Linked DNA regions of Stegostoma tigrinum. The protein of the gene in region 1 binds, or shares a complex with, the protein of each later gene. Links are inferred from orthologs where the notes say so. Each region holds a gene or a part of one and is shown in the gene's direction. Other genes may lie near its edges.

What was found. The genes of interacting proteins can lie anywhere in the genome.
Region 2: the proteins of slc3a2b (region 1) and slc7a11 are in contact, whole or in part, in a cryo-EM structure (PDB 7P9V), measured with the Homo sapiens proteins. The link is inferred for Stegostoma tigrinum from reciprocal best matches to the Homo sapiens genes SLC3A2 and SLC7A11. Residues at the interface, in NP_002385.3 of Homo sapiens: Glu167, Leu170, Ala173, Trp178, Thr181, Arg182, Phe189, Trp190, Trp193, Met196, Leu197, Gly199, Ala200, Ile203, Ile204, Ala207, Arg209, Cys210, Glu212, Leu213, Lys299, Arg534, Gln559; in NP_055146.1 of Homo sapiens: Leu151, Phe154, Phe155, Ile156, Gln157, Cys158, Glu159, Pro161, Leu163, Ala164, Leu167, Ile168, Ala170, Val171, Thr174, Val175, Val178, Gln217, Gln219, Val360, His373, Thr487, Gln489, Ile490, Ile491, Glu493, Val494, Val495.

Annotation. Positions count from the first base shown.
Region 1 is NC_081395.1:2,197,795-2,207,982, reverse strand, and holds the start of slc3a2b (solute carrier family 3 member 2b), read left to right. Parts: upstream 1-5,701; 5' UTR 5,702-5,927; coding exon 5,928-6,369; intron 6,370-6,848; coding exon 6,849-7,022; intron 7,023-9,069; coding exon 9,070-9,170; intron 9,171-10,188. UniProt on the Homo sapiens protein: Acts as a chaperone that facilitates biogenesis and trafficking of functional transporters heterodimers to the plasma membrane.
Region 2 is NC_081354.1:24,593,948-24,604,395, forward strand, and holds the start of slc7a11 (cystine/glutamate transporter), read left to right. Parts: upstream 1-6,552; 5' UTR 6,553-6,793; coding exon 6,794-7,076; intron 7,077-10,448. UniProt on the Homo sapiens protein: Heterodimer with SLC3A2, that functions as an antiporter by mediating the exchange of extracellular anionic L-cystine and intracellular L-glutamate across the cellular plasma membrane.

The DNA of each region.
Region 1 (10,188 bases):
CTAGCCTGGCTGCAAAATTAAAATGTTCGAATAACAAATTGTGTCTGTGACAAGAGTACAACCTTAAGGAGGAACCCCCCCCCCCCCCCCCCAGCTCAGATTTGACCAGTCAGGAACTGGTTAATCAGGGTGAGCACAAACTGGACTCTCATTTAGTCGCATTGTCAGGTTAGAGAATGGTGTTTAACACTCGGCAGCCACAGAACCAGGAGTAGCCCATGGTAAATCATACTCTCTCCCTCAGAAATGGTGCAGGAAGGATCCATTGGTCCATCAGGGATGCCTCAACTCTTGGAGGATTTCAGTTCAGGGCCATTCCCTCAGCTTGGTCACGGGACAAATAACCCAGCCTGTTAGTTACTTTCTATTGCATTGTGCAGTGCACAAAAAGATCCCAGAACCTGTTTCCCCGTTTGAGTGAATCTGGCTTAGTTACTGTTCAGAATCATCAACAGGAAAAAAAGAACATTCCCTCTCACTTTCTTACTGGCTGTGTACGCCTCCATGGCCTGTGTGAGGCAGTAACTTCCAGAACCCAAGATCATCACTGCGATCAGCTTCCGGACTCCAATCACTGTGCACAGAACACAGGGTGGCTTCATACACAACCTATCGAGGGAACATTACAGGGTGGTCCCTGGGTTACTGTTCCACCCAAAGACAGCACCTCTGACAGTGCTTACTCCCTCAGCATTGACCCTCCGACAGTGCGGCGCTCCCTCAGCACTGACCCTCCAACAGTGCGGCGCTCCCTCAGCACTGACCCTCCGACAGTGCGGCGCTTCCTCAGCACTGACCCTCTGACAATGTGGCGCTCCCTCAGCACTGACCCTCCAACAGTGCGGCGCTTCCTCAGCACTGACCCTCTGACAGTGCGGCGCTCCCTCAGCACTGACCCTCCGACAGTGCGGCGCTTCCTCAGCACTGACCCTCCGACAGTGCCTGCTCCCTCAGCACTGACCCTCTGACAATGTGGCGCTCCCTCAGCACTGACCCTCCAACAGTGCGGCGCTTCCTCAGCACTGACCCTCTGACAATGTGGCGCTCCCTCAGCACTGACCCTCCAACAGTGCGGCGCTCCCTCAGCACTGACCCTCCGACAGTGCGGCGCTCCCTCAGCACTGACCCTCCGACAGTGCGGCGCTTCCTCAGCACTGACCCTCTGACAATGTGGCGCTCCCTCAGCACTGACCCTCCAACAGTGCGGCGCTTCCTCAGCACTGACCCTCTGACAGTGCGGCGCTCCCTCAGCACTGACCCTCCGACAGTGCGGCGCTTCCTCAGCACTGACCCTCCGACAGTGCCTGCTCCCTCAGCACTGACCCTCCAACAGTGCGGCGCTCCCTCAGCACTGACCCTCCGACAGTGCGGCGCTTCCTCAGCACTGACCCTCCGACAGTGCCTGCTCCCTCAGCACTGACCCTCTGACAATGTGGCGCTCCCTCAGCACTGACCCTCCAACAGTGCGGCGCTCCCTCAGCACTGACCCTCCGACAGTGCGGCGCTCCCTCAGCACTGACCCTCCGACAGTGCGGCGCTTCCTCAGCACTGACCCTCCGACAGTGCCTGCTCCCTCAGCACTGACCCTCTGACAATGTGGCGCTCCCTCAGCACTGACCCTCCAACAGTGCGGCGCTCCCTCAGCACTGACCCTCCGACAGTGCGGCGCTCCCTCAGCACTGACCCTCCGACAGTGCGGCGCTCCCTCAGCACTGACCCTCCGACAGTGCGGCACTCCCTCAGCACTGACCCTCCGACAGTGCCTGCTCCCTCAGCACTGACCCTCCGACAGTGCGGCGCTCCCTCAGCACTGACCCTCCGACAGTGCCTGCTCCCTCAGCACTGACCCTCCGACAGTGCCTGCTCCCTCAGCACTGACCCTCCGACAGTGCCTGCTCCCTCAGCACTGACCCTCCGACAGTGCGGCGCTCCCTCAGCACTGACCCTCCGACAGTGCGGCGCTCCCTCAGCACTGACCGTCCGACAGTGCGGCACTCCCTCAGCACTGACCCTCCAACAGTGCGGCGCTCCCTCAGCACTGACCCTCCGACAGTGCGGCACTCCCTCAGCACTGACCCTCCGACAGTGCCTGCTCCCTCAGCACTGACCCTCCGACAGTGCGGCGCTCCCTCAGCACTGACCCTCCGACAGTGCCTGCTCCCTCAGCACTGACCCTCCGACAGTGCGGCGCTCCCTCAGCACTGACCCTCTGACAATGTGGCGCTCCCTCAGCACTGACCCTCCGACAGTGCGGCGCTTCCTCAGCACTGACCCTCCGACAGTGCGGCGCTCCCTCAGCACTGACCCTCCGACAGTGCGGCGCTCCCTCAGCACTGACCGTCCGACAGTGCGGCACTCCCTCAGCACTGACCCTCCAACAGTGCGGCGCTCCCTCAGCACTGACCCTCCGACAGTGCGGCACTCCCTCAGCACTGACCCTCCGACAGTGCCTGCTCCCTCAGCACTGACCCTCCGACAGTGCGGCGCTCCCTCAGCACTGACCCTCCGACAGTGCCTGCTCCCTCAGCACTGACCCTCCGACAGTGCGGTGCTCCCTCAGCACTGACCCTCTGACAATGTGGCGCTCCCTCAGCACTGACCCTCCGACAGTGTGGCGCTTCCTCAGCACTGACCCTCTGACAGTGCGGCGCTTCCTCAGCACTGACCCTCCGACAGTGCGGCGCTCCCTCAGCACTGACCCTCTGACAGCGCGGTGCTCCTTCAGCACTGACCGTCCGACAGTGCCCGCTCCCTCAGCACTGACCCTCCGACAGCGCAGTGCTCCTTCAGCACTGACCCTCCGACAGTGCCCGCTCCCTCAGCACTGACCCTCCGACAGTGCCCGCTCCCTCAGCACTGACTCTCCGACAGTGCGGCACTCCCTCAGCACTGACCCTCTGATAGTGCCCACTCCCTCAGCACTGACCCTCCGACAGTGCCCGCTCCCTCAGCGCTGACCCTCCGACAGTGCGGCACTCCCTCAGCTCTGACCCTCCGACAGTGCCCGCTCCCTCAGCACTGACCCTCCGACATTGCCCGCTCCCTCAGCACTGACCCTCCGACAGTGCCCACTCCCTCAGCGCTGACCCTCCAAATGAGTTGTGTTCCCTTCTGACACGTGACCTTCCTTCTGTTTGGACACTGACCAGAACTGTACACTGTACTGCAGATGTGGTCTCACCAATGCCCTGTATGACTGAACCCTAAACTCTCTACTATTTCCATTAAGTCCTCTTGCGAGTATTGAGTGCAGTTTTGTTGCCCCTCTTACTCAATGCTCCACAATTATGTGTTTTTCTTTAGGTTTGATATTATCTTTGAACTTCTTAGTTAGCCATGGAAGGTGGATCCATCCCATGATTTTTTTCTTGCTGATTGAAATGTCTCTATTCTGTATATTCTGAAATATCCCCTGCATTGAATCTATTGACCTAAACTTTAACCTAATTTGCCAATTCACTTTAGCGAGCTCTTTTTTCATGTCCTGATAGTTCCCCTTATTTAAAAATAGCCTCAAACACACTCAAATTTCCCTCAAACTGAATGTAAAATTCCATTGTATTGTGTTACTGCTTTGTAGGGGCTTGTTTACTGTGAGATCATTAATGAAGTCTACCTTGTTGCACAGCACTGGATTCAGTATAGCCTGCTCTCTGGTTGGCCCTATAACATGCTGTTCCAAAAAAACTATCTGGAAAACATTCTGAGCTACCTTGCCCATCTGAATTTTTTTAGTTTATATGTAACTTTGTGAATAATTCTTGTTGTGTCATCCTGACAAGCTTCTTTAGGCTCCACCCTACCATGCAGTGATTGTCAAGGGCCTGCGTACCACTCCCACAAGTGACTTCTTGCCTTTATCTCTTCTTATCTCAATTTAGACCATTTCTACAACCTCATCCCTGAACCTAGGCCCAAACTTCTGAAGAAGGGTCCTGACCCAAAACATCAGCTTTCCTGATTCTCTGATGCTGCCTGACCTGCTATGTTCCTCCAGCTCCACACTGTTGTTCTGGATGTGAGTTTGCTCGCTGAGCTGGAAGGTTAGTTTTCACTGTTGTCTTTGACTCCGGAATCAGCAGTTTTTACTATCTCATCCTTCTCTATTGTATGCCTGCCATCATTAATGAACAGAGCCACCCCTCTGCCTTTTCCTAGCTCATTCTTTCCCTAAATATCAGAGTCCTGATGAAGGCTCCTGACCCGAAACGTCAGCTTTCCTGCTCCCCGATGCTGCCTGACCTTCTGTGTTCCTCCAGCTCCACACTGTATTGACTCTGTATCCTAAAATATACAGATGCTTATCCACAGTATCTTATAGCCATGTCTCTGTCATGGCTACCAAAGCACATCTATTCACTTCTATTTGTGCTTTCAATTCAGCCATTTTGTTTATCAATTACAGACAGTTCAATTCCAGATCCTAAATACTCACTGTGTGAAAGAGATTCCTTTTGCCTTGCAATTGCACTTTTTTCTGCGTCTTCTGGTTCTTGATCCTTTAACACAGAATAGCTTCTCCCTGTCAACTCTGTCCACATATCTCATGACTTAGAAAAACTCTATTAAATCTTCTCAAGTGTTTTGAAATGCATGGTATGGGGGTGGGGAGGGAGGGTTGGAGAATGGGTGAAGCAAGTGTAGTGACATGAATGCAAAACTGGTTGGCAGACAAGAGACAAAAAGTGGCAACAAACAGGTCACTTTCGCAAGTGGCAGCCAGTGACTAATGACGTACTGCAAGGTTCAATATTCGGACCCCAACTATTCACAACATACACAAATAATTTAGATGAGGAAACTAAGTGTAATGTCTAAGTTTGCAGAGGGTGAACTGTGCGGTAGGTGCAGAGATGCTTCAGTGTGATTTCAACAAATTGAATCCATGGGCAAATGTATGGCAGATGCAGTTTAATGTGGACAAATGTGAGGTTATCCACTTTGGGAGCAAAACCAGGAAGGCAGATTCTGATCTGAATGGTGATAGATTGAGAAAGAGGGAGGTGTCGTCGTGCAACAGTCGCTGAAAGTAAGAAGTAACATTGCAGCTTCAGCAGAAACCAAAGGGAAATGGTCTGTTGGCCTGCAGAGAGAGAGATTTCGAGAACATGAACAAGGTGCCTTGCTCAATTCCACAGGGTCTAGGTGAGGCCATATATGGAGTATTGTGTTAGAAAAAAAATGCAGATGCTGGAATCTAGGTGGACAAACAGGAGGCTGGAAGAACACAGCAAGCCAGGCAGCGTCTGCAGGAAAGGAGCAATCAACATTTTGAGCGTTACCCTTCCTCAGGACAGTTTGTCGACCTGGAGTGTTGTGTGCAGTTTTGGTGGGCCTTTCAGCAAAAGATGTTCTAGCTATGAGGGAGTACAATGAAAGTTAATGAGACTGATTCCTGGGAGATCAGTTAGGGCCATATTCACTGGAATTTAGAAGAATGAGGGGGTTATCTCATAGAAACCTATAAAATTCTAACTGGACCAGAGAAGGTAAATGCAGGAAGGACATCTCCTTTCCTAACCTTCTCTGTTCTGATCAGAATAATTCCAACTCTCCAGTCTGTCTACATTTCCTGAAGTCCTTGTGCCCCTGAGATTTTTGGTAAATCTTCCACGTTGTGAACATTGGAAGTTCCACCTTAAATTCTGCAGTGACGAGGAGAGGAGGAGACAAGGCAGAACGTTAAAAAGGGGAAGGGAGGGAGGCGGAGTTCCTCAGAGAAAGAGAGACGGACTGAAGGCGGGAGTGGGCTCCGAGAGAACACACAGTTGTAGTTTTAAAGCCCTGCGGCTTAGTGCTTGGAGGATTATTACTGCGATAGTATTACAGGCTTTGGAGTATTACAGGGCAGTGGGGAGCAGTCTTGCAGAATCAGGAGGGCTGTGGGGACGGTATTGCAGCGTTAGCGGGGCTGTAGGGGCGGAAGGATGAGCTCAGAGGCCGGGATGAAGGATGCTGAGTTGGGCCTGAAGGAGGTTGAGCTGAATGAGGTGGACCAGGAGAAGGTACCGATGACAGCGGGCCTGCCTGGGGATACAAACGGGGCTCTGAAGGGGGAGAAGGGAGAAGTGAGCGGCGGCTCTGGGCTTCGTGTTGGACCGGGCTCCCCCTCCGTGTTCACGGGCCTGAGTAAAGAGGAGTTGCTGGCGGTAGCGAGTAGCCCGGCCTGGGTTCGGAGCCGCTGGCTGCTCCTGGCCCTGTTCTGGCTGGCCTGGCTCGCTATGTTGGCCGGGGCCGTGCTCATTATTGTCCGGGCCCCGCGCTGCCGCCCGCTCCCTGCCGCCCGATGGTGGCACCGCGGCGGCCTCTACCGCATCCACAGCCCGGCCTTCCAGGACTCGGATGGAGACGGCGAGGGGGACCTTGCAGGTACCGGGGGGGGGAAAGAAGGGGCACCGGGGGTCGGGTACTCGGGTTCGGGGAGGGAGGGAGGGAACCGGGGGTTGGGGGGAGGGGCTGTGGGTAGCGGCGGTAGGTCTCCGGTTGCGTCAGCCTGAGGGGCGGGTCATTGCTCACCTTTAAACCTCAGGCCCCGCCCCTGGACGTCACGTGCTCCGGGATGGGGCGGGGCGGGGCGTGGCGGCGGAGGGGGGGTGCGTGTGCGCGCGTGCGCATTAAGGACGAGGAGATATGATGGGGAGTTCTAGAACCAGCAGAGGTTTTTGGGGGTGGGGTGGGTTTTGCTGAGACAGCAGAGGGGAGGCCTGGGACAGGGCAGCGAAGGGTGGCTGGATGGGGTGATGTGTGGCTGGGATCTGGTCTGGGACAGGATTACCAGCTTTTGGGAGCGAGGACTGTGGTGTGGTTCAGCCCCTGGGACTCAAGTGTTTATTTGCTATCGCCTGCAGGAGTGAGCCAGAGAATGGAGGAGATTGCTGCCCTCAAGGTCAAAGGCATTATCATTGGTCCAATCCACCAGAATGTTGCAGACATGGTCAATGAGACCAGGCTGAACAAGATCGATAGCACATTTGGCAGCTTGGAACAGATGCAGAACCTGCTAGAGGTGGCCAAGAGGAAAGGTAATTGTGAAAGCTCTCAAACTTTACTGGACTGTTCAGTAAATGTCATCAAACTGCAACATTACTGGGAAAAGGTCCTCCCTTCTGGGTGAATGCAAACCACAAGGGCCCCCCTGTCTGTGAATAAGAGGCAGTTCTGATTTAAAAATCTCGTAGACTATGGAGTGCAAGTGTGGGAGAAGGATCGGAGCGGCATTGATCACTGACCAGTGGAATCTGTGATTGCCTGCATGGATCTGGAGTATATCCTTCGTCAGGTGAGGTGACCCGAATTGCACACAATACTCCAGGTGCAAGCTCACCAGTGTACAGTGTAATTGAAACAATACTTCTGAGTTCCTGTACATAATGCTCTTGTAAGGCTTTGGAGTAGATCTGTAGCTCGGGCTGTGGGGGTTTTCAAACTCTGGGGTCCGTTGCGATGGATTGCCTCAATTCCGGGATTCCTCCGTAGTGGAATGTACCTGGGGCCAAGTTCAATGTGTTTATTAACAGCCTGCTTCGTGGAGTGCCATGCTTCCAGGATTTCTCGTGCTTGTCTCGGCTGAGCCTGTCCCAGGATCTCCAATGTAGTCAATACAGCAACACTTTCATGGACTGGTCCACTACATCGGACAAACAGGAAGGAAACCAAACAACAAAACTACATGAACACCAACTGGCTACAAAAAGACATGACCAGTACACACTCAGCTCAATCCACGTGGACAAGGAGAACCACCACTTTGACTGGGACAACACCAAGATCCTGGGACAGGCTAGGCAGAGACAGGCACAAGAATTTCTGGAAGCATGGCACTTCACGAAGCAGGCTATTTATGGGGCTGAGTTCAATGTGTCTATTAATAGCCTGCTTCGTGAAGTGCCATGCTTCCAGAAATTCTTGTGCCTGTCTCTGCCTAGCCTGTCCCAGGATCTTGGTGTTGTCCCAGTCAAAGTGGTGGTTCTCCTTGTCCACGTGGATTGAGCTGAGTGTGTACTGGTCATGTCTTTTTGTAGCCAGTTGGTGTTCATGTAGTTTTGTTGTTTGGTTTCCTTCCTGTTTGTCCGATGTAGTGGACCAGTCCATGAAAGTGTTGCTGTATTGACTACATTGGAGATCCTGGGACAGGCTCAGCCGAGACAAGCACGAGAAATCCTGGAAGCATGGCACTCCACGAAGCAGGCTGTTAATAAACACATTGAACTTGGCCCCAGGTACATTCCACTACGGAGGAATCCCGGAATTGAGGCAATCCATCGCAACGGACCCCAGAGTTTGAAAACCAGGTGGGAGAACGCACCGTTTCATCAGAGGCTGCACTGAGGATGTTACCAAGCACAGTAACAAAACGTCTGCGGAACAACAAACCAGCTCAGCGAACTAACCAACCTCGATAATCCTGTTGTGCTATATGCTAACAGACTGTTTGTTTGTCTTCTGAACTGTTTACTGGAACCAGCATGTGAGCATTCAGTAACTCCTGGACAAGGACAACTCAGTCCCTTTGTACATCAGCACTCTTCCAATCTCTCACCAGTTCAGAAATGAGTCAGCATTTCTGTGTTTCCTGCCCAAGTGGATACCTTCGCACACATCCACATTATATTCCATCTGCCATATCCCATGCCCAAGTTGTGGATGTTGCTTGTGATTTGGAACCAAGGACAGATCCTTCTGACCGCACACTGGTTACAGGCTACCATCCTGAGAATGACCCAATTATTCCCACTCTCTGCTGGCCCAGATTCTGTTTGTCACCCCCCGCCCCCCGCAACGTGTCAGAATCCCAAAAACCCACAGGTTATCTATCTGCCAATAACGTCTTCATGTTAAAACTCTTAACAAGTTTGCACATGATCTCCCTTTCAGCCAAGTCAACATGGATTTTTCAAACTGATCACCATTTGTTCAAATGCCCAGTTACTAAATCCTTAAACAATGGGGTTACATTTTTCACCCACCAATCCAGGGAATTTTGAAAGCTTATTGCATTAAAAAAACAAACCAAATCTCACCTCTATCCTGTAGCAGCTTGAAACTCAGTCAGATTTTGTGCCCAAACAGGTCTCAAGGTGATTCTTGATCTCACTCCCAATTACAAAGGAAAACAGAAGTGGTTCGGCATTAACTTCAACAGGACTGATGGTGGCCAGGATTTGTTACGGGTATGTGCCATTTCCATAAGGATACGGAGGGTTCCTCTTCCTCTTTGCTGTGGTGAATAGGTTAGGCTGGGCCTTGAGCCCTTCCCCCATCTGATTGGGTTTCAGACTCCTCTCCTGTGTGCTGAGCAAGAGGCAGTCACTATCTCTTGTGACATTGTCCTCGCTTGGGAAAGGGAATTAGGTGAGGGTGCACAGCACAGTATTAGGTAAAGCCTCTTAGAGTCATAGAGCTGTACAGCATGGAAACCAGCCCTTCAGTCCAACACGTCCAGATATCCTAAATAAATCTAGTCCCATTTGCTTGCATTTGACCCATATCTCTCTTAAACCCTTCCTATTCATGTACCCACCCAGATATCTTTTAAATATTGTAATTGTAACAGCCCCCACCACTTTGGCAGCTCGTTCCACACATGTACCACCCTCTGTGTGAAAATGTTGCTCCTTGGGTCCCTTTTATTATCTGTCCCCCCACCAACCCCAACCTTAAACCTATGCCATTTAGAACATAGAATGGCACAGTACAGGCCCTTCAGCCCATGATGTTGTGTTGACCTATTATCCTACCCTGCATACCGTACATTTTACTATCGTCCATGTGCCTATTCAAGAGTCGTTTAAACGTCCGGAATGTATCTGACTCCACTACCCCACCAGTAGTGCATTCCACACAGACACACACACACCACGTGTAAAGAACCTACCTCCAACATCTCCTCCAGACCTTCTTCCAATCATATTAAAATTATGCCCTCTCGTAATAGTCATGTCTGCCCTGGGAGACTCTATCCAGTTCTAGTTTTGGATTTCCCTACTCTCGGCAAAAGACCTTTCTGTGCCAATGATCTGCCACTGCCTGGTATTTTAAAAGTTTTTTTGGAGAAGTGGGATCAGCATTGCATACGAGACTCTGTCATGTCTTTGAATCAGTGAGTAGAAGGTTGACTCTGCGGGGAAGGGAACTTAAAGTAAGTTGATTGCAGAGCACAACATACTGGCCAGAATGCACTGGCACAGC
Region 2 (10,448 bases), on another chromosome or scaffold:
CAGCATCTGCAGTTCCCATTATCTCTAGAGTAAATATCTCTTAGTTTTATAGTCGGACAAAGTGCATTCAAGGGACCTGCTTTACCTGTGTAGACAATGGGTCCTTGAGCACACTAATTCAGACCCTGTTAAAAGACTCTTTGGTAAAATTAGTCTATGATGAGCGAGGCTGATATTGGGCCTGGCTCAGCTCAGATTTTTTCTCCAATCCCAAGAGCTGCCCATGGAAGTAAGTTTCAAAAAATATTTCTTGTTATAAAAGAAAGCTTTGAGGAGTCAAAGAAGTGAAATTAACACACACCAACTTCATGTGTGACCATCCACTCGTAGCCCACTCTAAATCTCATTTTGAAACTTACCTGAGGTCTGTAACTGTACAGCAGCTGGACCAAAATAGATGACTTTCTTTGGGTGAGCTGTCTGTAGAGACATGATGAATACTGGAATTCACCTTGTGTATGTTGATGATGGCCAATTACCACCGGATTTCAAATCTCTTGGTGCTTATGTTCCACTTAAGATTTTTCCCACTCTTCCTAACACTATCAGCATCACTCTACCCCTTTATCTATCAAGTATATACCTAAGCTGCCCACCAACTCCATCTATATTCCATGTTTCAACTACTGCCTGTGATAGCAGCTTCTACATTTTCATCCTTCTTTGTGTAAATTAATTTCCTCTGAATTTTCTGCTGGATTTCCCTCGGACTATATATACTGTTGGATTTTAGTCTAGTTCTTTCCAGCAAAGGAAATATGCTCCTTGTATCAACTCAATCAAAACCTTTAGTACTTTTTGAGATCTTTTAGCCCCTCCACCTTCTCTTTTAAGAGAAACCTGAGCAGCCTATTCATCCATTTGTGATGTGTACAGCTGGTTGAAAATTCTTGAATGACAGAGAGTGGGTCTGAGTTCCTCGTCACTTACAAAATCTGGATATGAATCTCAGTTAAAACAAACTTTCTAGCCAAGTTTCATCCATTTATAATTGTAATGGATATAACCATCTGAATATTGAATGTTGAATTATCTTTATTGTCACATGTACTTAAATGAGTACAATGTAAAGTTTATAAGTCACCACTTATAGCCCCATTTAGGTATATAGGTACCCAGGAACAGCTTCTTCAGTTACAGGTTCAATTACAGTGTCACCAACACACACTGCCAGCTTAGTTGTACCTAGTTACAATTCTTAGTTGCAGAATAGAAAAACAAAGACAAAACAGTTACGTTACAGCTATATACAGTATAACCATAGATCAGAAAAAGATAAAGCAATGTTAAGAAGACAAACATCACAGCCTTTCTCCAAGGGCTCTCCACATCAGATCAGCCCAGGAGGCCTCCATGTGGCCTGATCACTGGCTGCCAATATGCTCCGCACCAGGCCACTGTTGTCACTCTCTGCACTGGGTCGCAGCTGTCACGCTCCACACCAGCCACAATCCCGTTTCACACCGAGCCGTTGGTGTCCCGCTTCAGGCCAGTATTCTTGGCATCCCTGCTTCAGGCTGCTGGTCGCTGCCATCCCTGCTTCGGGTCAGTGTTTACTGGCGTCCCCGCTTCAAAGGTTGGGGCTGGGTGACCAAGGCCAAGACTCTGAGAAGACAGAAGAGGAGAAGAAAGCCACAGAAGGGAGGAAGAGAGAGAGACAAAAAAGGAAAAGAATTGGTGGACCAGATCAGCATCAGCTAGAACAACCTACTGTGCTGCTATCTGAATGGAAGTTCTTTAGTAAGCTGTTGAGGTAGGGACAAAACAGAATGGAGCTACGCTTCCTCCACGCATGATGCTATATTCTCATTTTTGACATTCCGCAACTGCAAAAAACAGGCCTTCACTGCCTTACAATTGAAGAGGAAGAGAAAAGAAGGCTGGATTAAATAAATTAAGTACATACTCCTTCTATTTAAACTCAGACAGCAGTTTAAAGGAGCATTTTGTTATGATTAAGTTACAGGTTTTAAGAACTTATTTTAATGGAAGTCAGCACCATAGTCAACACCAACATTTGTTGCCCATCCCTATTTGTCCGTGAATTGAATGGCCTGATTAGCCATTTTGGAAGGCCATTATGAGTTAACCAGTCTTGTGAATTTGGAATGTAGGCTGGACCAGGTAAGGATGACAGATTTCCTTCTCTAGGGAGAGTTATTTTTTTCTGATTATTGATGATGCAGTCAGGCTGCTTGTCTGTAGGGATTTGTTTGGGGAGTTTGAGGGAAATTTTGCTGTACGGTAAACTGAGGCATCAATTTAACTCACACAACTCATGCCAAATGACTGTTGGGCAAATACATGATTGTTCAACCAAATGATCATGTTAGAAAGTGGTTGAGAGATACTCCTCAGTCCAGTGACAGTCAGGGAAATGAGAGGCTTGACAAGGTCAGTTGTCTGCTTGGGCAAGCTGCAGTCAGGGGATACATCTGATCACAGTCCAGGTAGTGGGCAACAGTCAATCCCGTAGAGCCAGGAGAATTGTATATTGGCAGTCATGATGTTAAAAAGACAGCAGCCAGGTGTTGTGTTAGTCGTGAAAGTCTGGCAGAGATCTGGGTACAAAAGCTAGTCAAAGACAATTTGGAATACACAACTGGCCTTTGTAAATCTAACAATGATATCTCAGTAATGCAGAAATTTACAGCAACAACTTGAAAAAAAGGCATATACTTGCCAAAAACAACCAATAACTGTGAAACTTGCAAGGGCACTGTGCGAAGTGGAGATATATGACCTGTCAAGTAAGTATGACAATGGATTCATGGAATTCAATGATGAATTTCATGGTTGATTTGGGTTTGGGATGGTAAGGAGGTTGTGCATCACAGTCACAGCCTCTGTGATGTAATCTGTTGATCACTCAGTCAGGATGGCTCTTTCCTCAAGCTAGTGAATATTCTGAGGTTGAAGCTGAATGAATGATACACAGCCCCACTTATCGGTGTGTGAAAGACTGTGTGTATCCCTCATTTTCAGGGCCTGACACCAATGATTGTTCTGCACTAAGGGCCTATTTTACTCCAAATGTTCCAAACTAAAGTCATTTACAAAAAGTGTCATGCACCCAGTCGCTGATGAGATGTTGGTCACTGTGGCTGTCTACCTCAGAAGGTGACAGCAGACAAAGGAAACAAATTACTGTTAGACAAGCCTTCTCTGAATTATGTTTAATCCAGTGAAAACGAAGGTCTGTATGAAAAGGGGTAATCTGCCATGGGTGTCTAAGGAAATAAGGGACGCTATCAAATTAAAAGAGAAGGCTTGCAAAGTGGCCAAAAACGGCGTGAAATAAGAAGGTTGGGAAAACTTTAAATGTTAACAGAAAGCCACAAAAAGAGCTGTAAAGAAAAGTAAGATTGAACATGAGAAAAAACTAGCACAGACTATAATGACAGATAGCAAAAGTTTCTATAAATATATAAAATGAAAAAGAGTAGCAAAAGTAAATGTTGGCCCTTTAGAGGATGAGAAGGGGAATTTAGTTCTGGGACATGATGAAATGGCAGAGGCATTGAACAGGTATTTGGTATTGCGCTCTTCACAGTGGAGGACACTAATAACATGTCAGTAATTGACAAAAAGACGAAGGTAGTTGAGGACCTGGAAACAATCATTATTACAGAAGAGGTAGTGTTGGGCAAGCTAAAGGAGCTAAGGATTGATAAGCCTCCTGGTCCTGACGGAATGCATCCCAGGGTGCTAAAAGAGATGGCGGGAGAAATAGCAGGTGGACTTGTGGTAATTTTCCGAAATTCGCTGGACTCTGGGGCAGTCCCAGCAGGTTGGAAAACAGTAAATGTGACGCCACTGTTGAAAAAGGGATCTAGACGAAAGGTGGGGAATTACAGACCAGTTAGCTTAACCTCTGTAGTGGGGAAGATGCTTAAGTCTATCATCAAGGAAGAAATAGCAAGGCATCTCAATAGAAATTGTCCCATTGGGCAGACATAGCATGGGTTCATGAAGGGCAGGTCATGCTTGACAATCTTTTGGAATTCTATGAGGACATTACGAGCAAGGTGGACAATGGGGACCCAGTGGATGTGGAGTACCTAGATTTCCAAAAGGCCTTTGGCAAGGTGGTGCACAAAAGGCTGCTGCATAAGATAAGTTGCATGGTGTTAGGGGTAAAGTATTAGCATGGGTAGAGGTTGACTAACAGAAAGCAAAGAGTGGGGATAAATGAGTGGGGATATTCTGGCTGGCAATCAGTGACCAGTGGTGTGCCTCAGGGATAGATGTTGGGACCACAATTATTTACAATTTATATAGATGATTTGGAGTTGGGGACTCCAATTTTGGATTTGGCTAAAAGGATTATTACTTGAATGGTAAAAAGTTGCAGCATGCTGCCATGCAGAGGGACCTGGGTGTCCTTGTGCAGGAATCACAGAAGGTTGGTCTACAAGTACAACAAGTAATTAGGAAGGCAAATGGACTTTTTTCCTTTATTTCTGAAGCGATTGAGTTTGAAAGCAGAGAGGTTATGCTGCAGCTGTACAAGGTGCTGGTGAGGCCATACCTGGAGTATTGTGTGCAGGTTTGGTCTCAGTACTTGAGAAAGGATGTACTGGCACTGGAGGGGGTGCAAAGGAGGTTCACTGGGTTGATCCCGGAGTTGAGGTGGTTGCTTATGAGGAGAGACTGAGTAGATTGGGATTATATTCATTGGAATTCAGAAGATTGAGGGGGGATCTTACAGAAACATATAAAATTATGAAGGAAATAGATAAGATAGAAGTAGAGAGGATGTTCCCACTGGCAGGTGAAGCTAGGACGAGAGGGTATAGCCTCAAGATTACAGGGAGCAGATTTAGGACTGAATTGAGAAGGAACTTCTTCACCCAGAGGGTTGCTAAAATATGGAATTCCTTGCCCAGTGGAGTAGTTGACGCTACTTCAGTAAATGTTTTTAAAGCTAAGATAGATATTTTTTTGAACAATAAAGGAATTAAGGGATACGGTGAGAGCGCGGGTAAGTGGATCTGAGTCCATGAAAAGATCAGCCGTGATCTTATTGAATGGCAGAGCAGGCTTGAAGGGCCGGACAACCTATTCCTGCTCCTAGTTCTTATATTCTTCTGTATAGTGGAGGTGACGTAGAGAGGATGTTCATATGGGATATATATAAGGACATTGCCTTGTTGTTTACAGTGCTTAGGGTGGAAAAATGGGGTTGTATGGATGAGGATGTGTTAGCCATGCCAGCGCCATGCTGTAGGCAGTGAGGTTTTGTGATGGCTGTGCCATTGTGTTGCTGGTGAGATGCAACAACAAGCTTACAACACTTTTCCAGGGGCACAGTAGCCTTTTAAAGATGGCATGGGCGCCAGTTTTTAAATGGATATCTGTTGGTTGTCGAGTTCCAAAAATGGCAATTGATGGGGTGAGGCTAGATTTCAGTGAGAAAGAAGTTACAGCAGTGGGGTAGGTAGTTAATGAGGTGAGTTTGGTCAGATGCAGTGTGAGATTTCGTCAGGCCATCCAGAGATAAACTCTTCCATGGAACTCAATGAAACTGACACTTCAACATAGAGATGTAAGTTTCAGCCCGTGTTTCAGATCAAAGACTATGGATATCAAGCTTTGTCAGCAAGGATTGGAATGCTGCTTGAGGAAGATATGACATGGGACAGGATTCGAGCAACAGAATTTTGATTGAGCTGGAGTTTTGATTGAGAACATTGTGATGTGGAGGTGCCAGTGTCAGACTGGGCTGGGCAAAGTCAGAAGTCACACCACACCAAGTTATAGTCTAATAGGTTTACTTGAAATCACAAGCTTTCAGAGCACAGCCCCTCCGACAGGTGAAGGAACAGCGCTTCAAAAACTTGTGATTTCAAATAAACCTGTTGGACTACAGCCTGATGTGGTGTAACTTCTGATTGAGAATGTGGGAGGGTAACCTGCTGAGTCATTGGACAAGAACAATCTAGAAAGGTGATAGAATTCTCTGAGATTTCAGTAGTGGGAGTGTTTGTTTTATGTTTGTGTATGTGAGTCACTATTTGTGCGAATATTTCCAACATCACAGTAGACCGGAGTGCCACCGCGTCCCTGTGTACATACAACAAAAGGGCAAGAGGGCCTTATGGTGCAGTGAAGATTGGGAATCAAGTCCTTACTTGCCCTAGAAGTGTGTCATAACCACTTACAGGTCACTGGATGAGGAGAAATTAATTAAACTACTGCAGATCAGTTGCTGCCTCTAATGTTCAATATATTCACACACACAGGTATTGAAATAAGATTTCCGTTGAAGTAGGGTGCTCAGGAAGTCAGAATACCTGAAACGTTTAGTCGTGTTTTGTCTTCGAAAAAAGGGGATGGTAGTTAAGAGAGTCGCGCAGAAATAAGGAGAGGGAATCAAAGTGATAGAAAACGTGTGAAGGAATTTGAGTTGCCCAAGCAGCGAGGGTACGGGGAAAGTGCTGAGTAATATTCGCTGGCTGATGCAACACATCCCCAGTAATGACATCAACTAAGTGTTTGTTTGCCCGGGGCTGAATAAAGAGCCGGCGGAAGCGGGCTTGTTACTTTTAGGAGGGTCTAGTGCAGCAGAACCAAACACAGACAGAGCCAAACAGACACGCACAGACTAACGAACACACAGAGCCTGATGCACACACACATACACGGAGCTAATCTGTGATATGAGTGTTCGAGGCCAGAATCCGATTTAAATCACACATCCACCTGCCAGGGCGCAGAGCCCCGTGGCATTCAGTGAGCCAGGGAGTGTGTAGCGAGAGGCACCGGTGGCTCCCCGCTGAAATTGAGCAACATGTCCAGCAGCGCAATATCGGCGATCTCTAGCGGAGAACCCCCCAGCGGGGGCACCAAGGGTTTCCTGCCCCCTGAGGGGGGATCCCGGCAGCAAAATGACAGCCCCCGGGACAAGGTGCGGTTAAAGAAGAAAGTGACTCTGCTGAGAGGAATATCGATCATTATCGGCACGATCATCGGAGCGGGCATCTTCATCTCTCCCAAGGGAATCCTGAAGCACACTGGCACCGTAGGGATGGCCCTGGTTATGTGGACCGCCTGCGGGATACTCTCGCTTTTCGGTGAGTTCGACTTCACAGACTTTGGGAAGTTCGCTGCAAACTTATCTTTCTGGCTTCCCTCTGATTTTGTAATCGATGGGGAAGACTTGGTAACAGGAGTAGATCACTCAGCATGATGTTGAGAAACAATAGGCAGTGTCCAAAGTACCAGCATTTTCAGTGCTTTTTCTCCTTGATCTGACAAACAGCGGGAGATCGTAGGAACACACTATACAACTTCAGAAGAACCTTTACTTTCGCCAGTTCTGTCGTTCCAAAACTTCTGTTTGCTATCAAACCATCACTTGTGATGCTTTGATGATTAATAATTGTTCTATATGCACATACGGTTCCTATGAAATATCTATATTACATCTAAATCGTAATAATATCAAAAAGGGAATTGTCAGCAGTTTTCCTTTAAGATGCTCCCTAAAAGCTTACCTTCTCGGTCACCTTGCTTATTACCTCCCTATTGTTGTACTAAATTTTACTCAATTGCACTGCTCTGAAGCCCATTGGTATATTTCACTGAGTTTGAGGTGCGATATGAGACAGTTGTGGTTATATTTTGTAGATATCATTATCTACAGATAGCCCCACCCCAACTCCCCACTTCAATAGGAAACAGCTTTGCCATTTAGAGGGATGAAGAAGGGATCATTTGGAGGACTTTGAAGAAGTAGAAAGGTGGCTATTGAGCATCACTGTGCTTTAAAAAGCCGCTGGTGTGTTTCCTCTCTGGTGAAGGAGCTGTATCAGAGAAGGTCAATGGATTAGCAGTTACTGTATACATGGTCAGTGCCACCATACAGCTTAGTTTCCATAACTTGAACAGATCAAAGAGAAACTTTGCAGGGATTTTTTTTTTACCCTTTTTCCATGTGATTATATGGTGATGGTTAGAAGCAAGTGTATAATACTGTAACTGTGATCAGCGTGGGACTAGCTTGATGGCAACTGGTATTTTCCTTCTCTCATTACTTCTACCAGTAATTAATCCATATTTTCTTTTAAACGTTTTGACAAGTTTTCAGACTATTAAAAACATGCCTCCACATACACAAACAGACAGACCCTACTTTGTACTTTTCCACTGGCTACTGGGTTTAAATAAGTGCCAGCCTGAAGAAAGGTGGCACTGAGTTATTCTGCAGAGGACAGGTTTAAAGTTTAGATGTGATTCTGTGACAGGGCAGCATTTACTGAAGAACTCAATGTACTAGGAATTACACTAACAATGAATTTAAGATTACTAGTTGGGAATGGTGCATTGTAGCTCACTTACGCCGACACTGATCCACAAGCAGTCATATGCAACAAAAGTGGTTTGGCCAGACATTGCTCCATTTCTGAAATAAACAAAAACATCGGAACAATCACCCCATGGTACATTTTTAATAGTAATAGTTGGGCCAATCAGAGCTGACTTAATAACCAATCAACATTCTATTCTCATAAGATCATTAAAAATAGAAGCAGGAGGAGGCTATCTGGCCCATTGAGTCTATTCTACCATTCAATAAGGTCATGGCCAATTTTTTCATGGACTCAACTCATGGACTTACCTGCCCACTCACCATAAAACCTATTTCCTCCCAGGTTCAAAAATCTCAGTATCTTTGCCTTAAAAACATCCAATGAGATAGCCTCAATCACTTCACTGGGATGGGAATTCCACAGATTCACAACCCTTTGGGTGAAGAAGTTTCTCTTCAACTCACTCCTAAATCTGCTACCCCTTATATTGTGGCTGTACGCCTAGTTCTAGTTTCACCTGCCAGTGGAAACAACTTCCCTGCTTCTACCTTATATATTCCATTTATAATTTTATATTGTTTGATAAGTTTCCCCCTCATTCTTCAATATTCCAATGAGTATACTCCCATTCTACTCTCAATGCCTCCTCATAAGCCAACTCTCTGAACTGTGGAATCAACCTAGTGAACCTCCTCTGCACCCTTTCCAGTGCCAATACATCCTTTCATGTAGTATAAATAATTGCTTCCTTGGGAATTTTATATTTTTAGAGTCATAGGGCTGTACGGCAGTCTACAGCTGGGCTGTACCTTTCAGTCCAACTCATCCATGCTGATCAGGTTTCCGATATTAATATAGACTCATTTGCCAGCATTTGGTCCATATTCCTCTAAACTCTTCCAATTCATGTAACCATTCTGATGCCTTTCAAACATTGCAACTGTACCAGCCTCCACCACTTCCTCTGACATCTCATTCAATACATGCACCACCCTCTCTGTGTAAAAGTTGCCCTTTAGGCCCCTATTAAATCTTTCCCCTCTCACCTTAAACCTATGCCTTCTAGTTTTGGACTTCCCTACCCTGTGTAAAAAGACCTTGGCTATTCACATAATCCACGCCCCTCATGATTTTATAAACCTCTATAAGTCACTCACCTCAGCCTCCGATGCTCCAGGGAAAACAACCCCAGCCTATTCAACCTCTCAAGTCCTCCAACCTCAGCATTATCCTTGTAAGTCTTTTCTGTACCCTTTCAAGTTTAACCAATCTTTCCTATTGCAGGGAGACCAGAATTGAACACAACATTCCAAAAGTGGCCTATCCAGTGCCATGTACAGCCACCACATGACATCTCAATTCCTGTACTCAGTGCACTGACCAATGGAGGCAAGTGTACAAAACAGTTTATTCACTACCCTGTCTACCCAAGGCCACTTCATTTGGCAACACTGCCCAAGACCCTACCATTAAGTGTGTAAGTTCTGCCTGGTTTGCCTTACAAAATGCAAAATCTCACATTTATCTAAATTAAACTTCATCTGCCATTCCTCAGCCCATTGGTCCATCTGATCAAGGTCTTTTTGTGCTCTGAGGTAACCTTCTTCATTGTTCACTGCACCACTGACTTTGGTGTCATCTGCACATCTACTAATCATACCTCCTATGTTCACATCCAAATCATTTATATAAACAACAGAAGGCAGTGAACTCAGCCCTGAACTTTGTGGCACACTGCTGGTCACAGGACTGCAGTCCGAAAAACAACCATCCACCACCACGTTCTCCTACCTTCAAACCAAGTTTGTAGCCAAATGGCTAGCTCTCCCTGTATTCATCTGCCCTGATGAAGCTTTGACAGCATGTCTCTCTCTTCAGAAATATTCAAATTTTATCTTGACACATTTCTACCCCTGTAGTAGATGTATTATAATGCCTAGTATGGCAGCAGTCTTAACCAAAACGTAGTTGAAGATGTGTTGAGGGGTGGAAACAATATTGGGCTTGAGAGAGGAAATCAAAATTTTTGGAACCCCGCTTTCTGTTGATCACTGTTCACTAATCCCCTGTATTGATAAGGTATGGCGATCAACTTGGAGGTGATGCTTTCATCAACAGTCTGTGCCTGTTCAA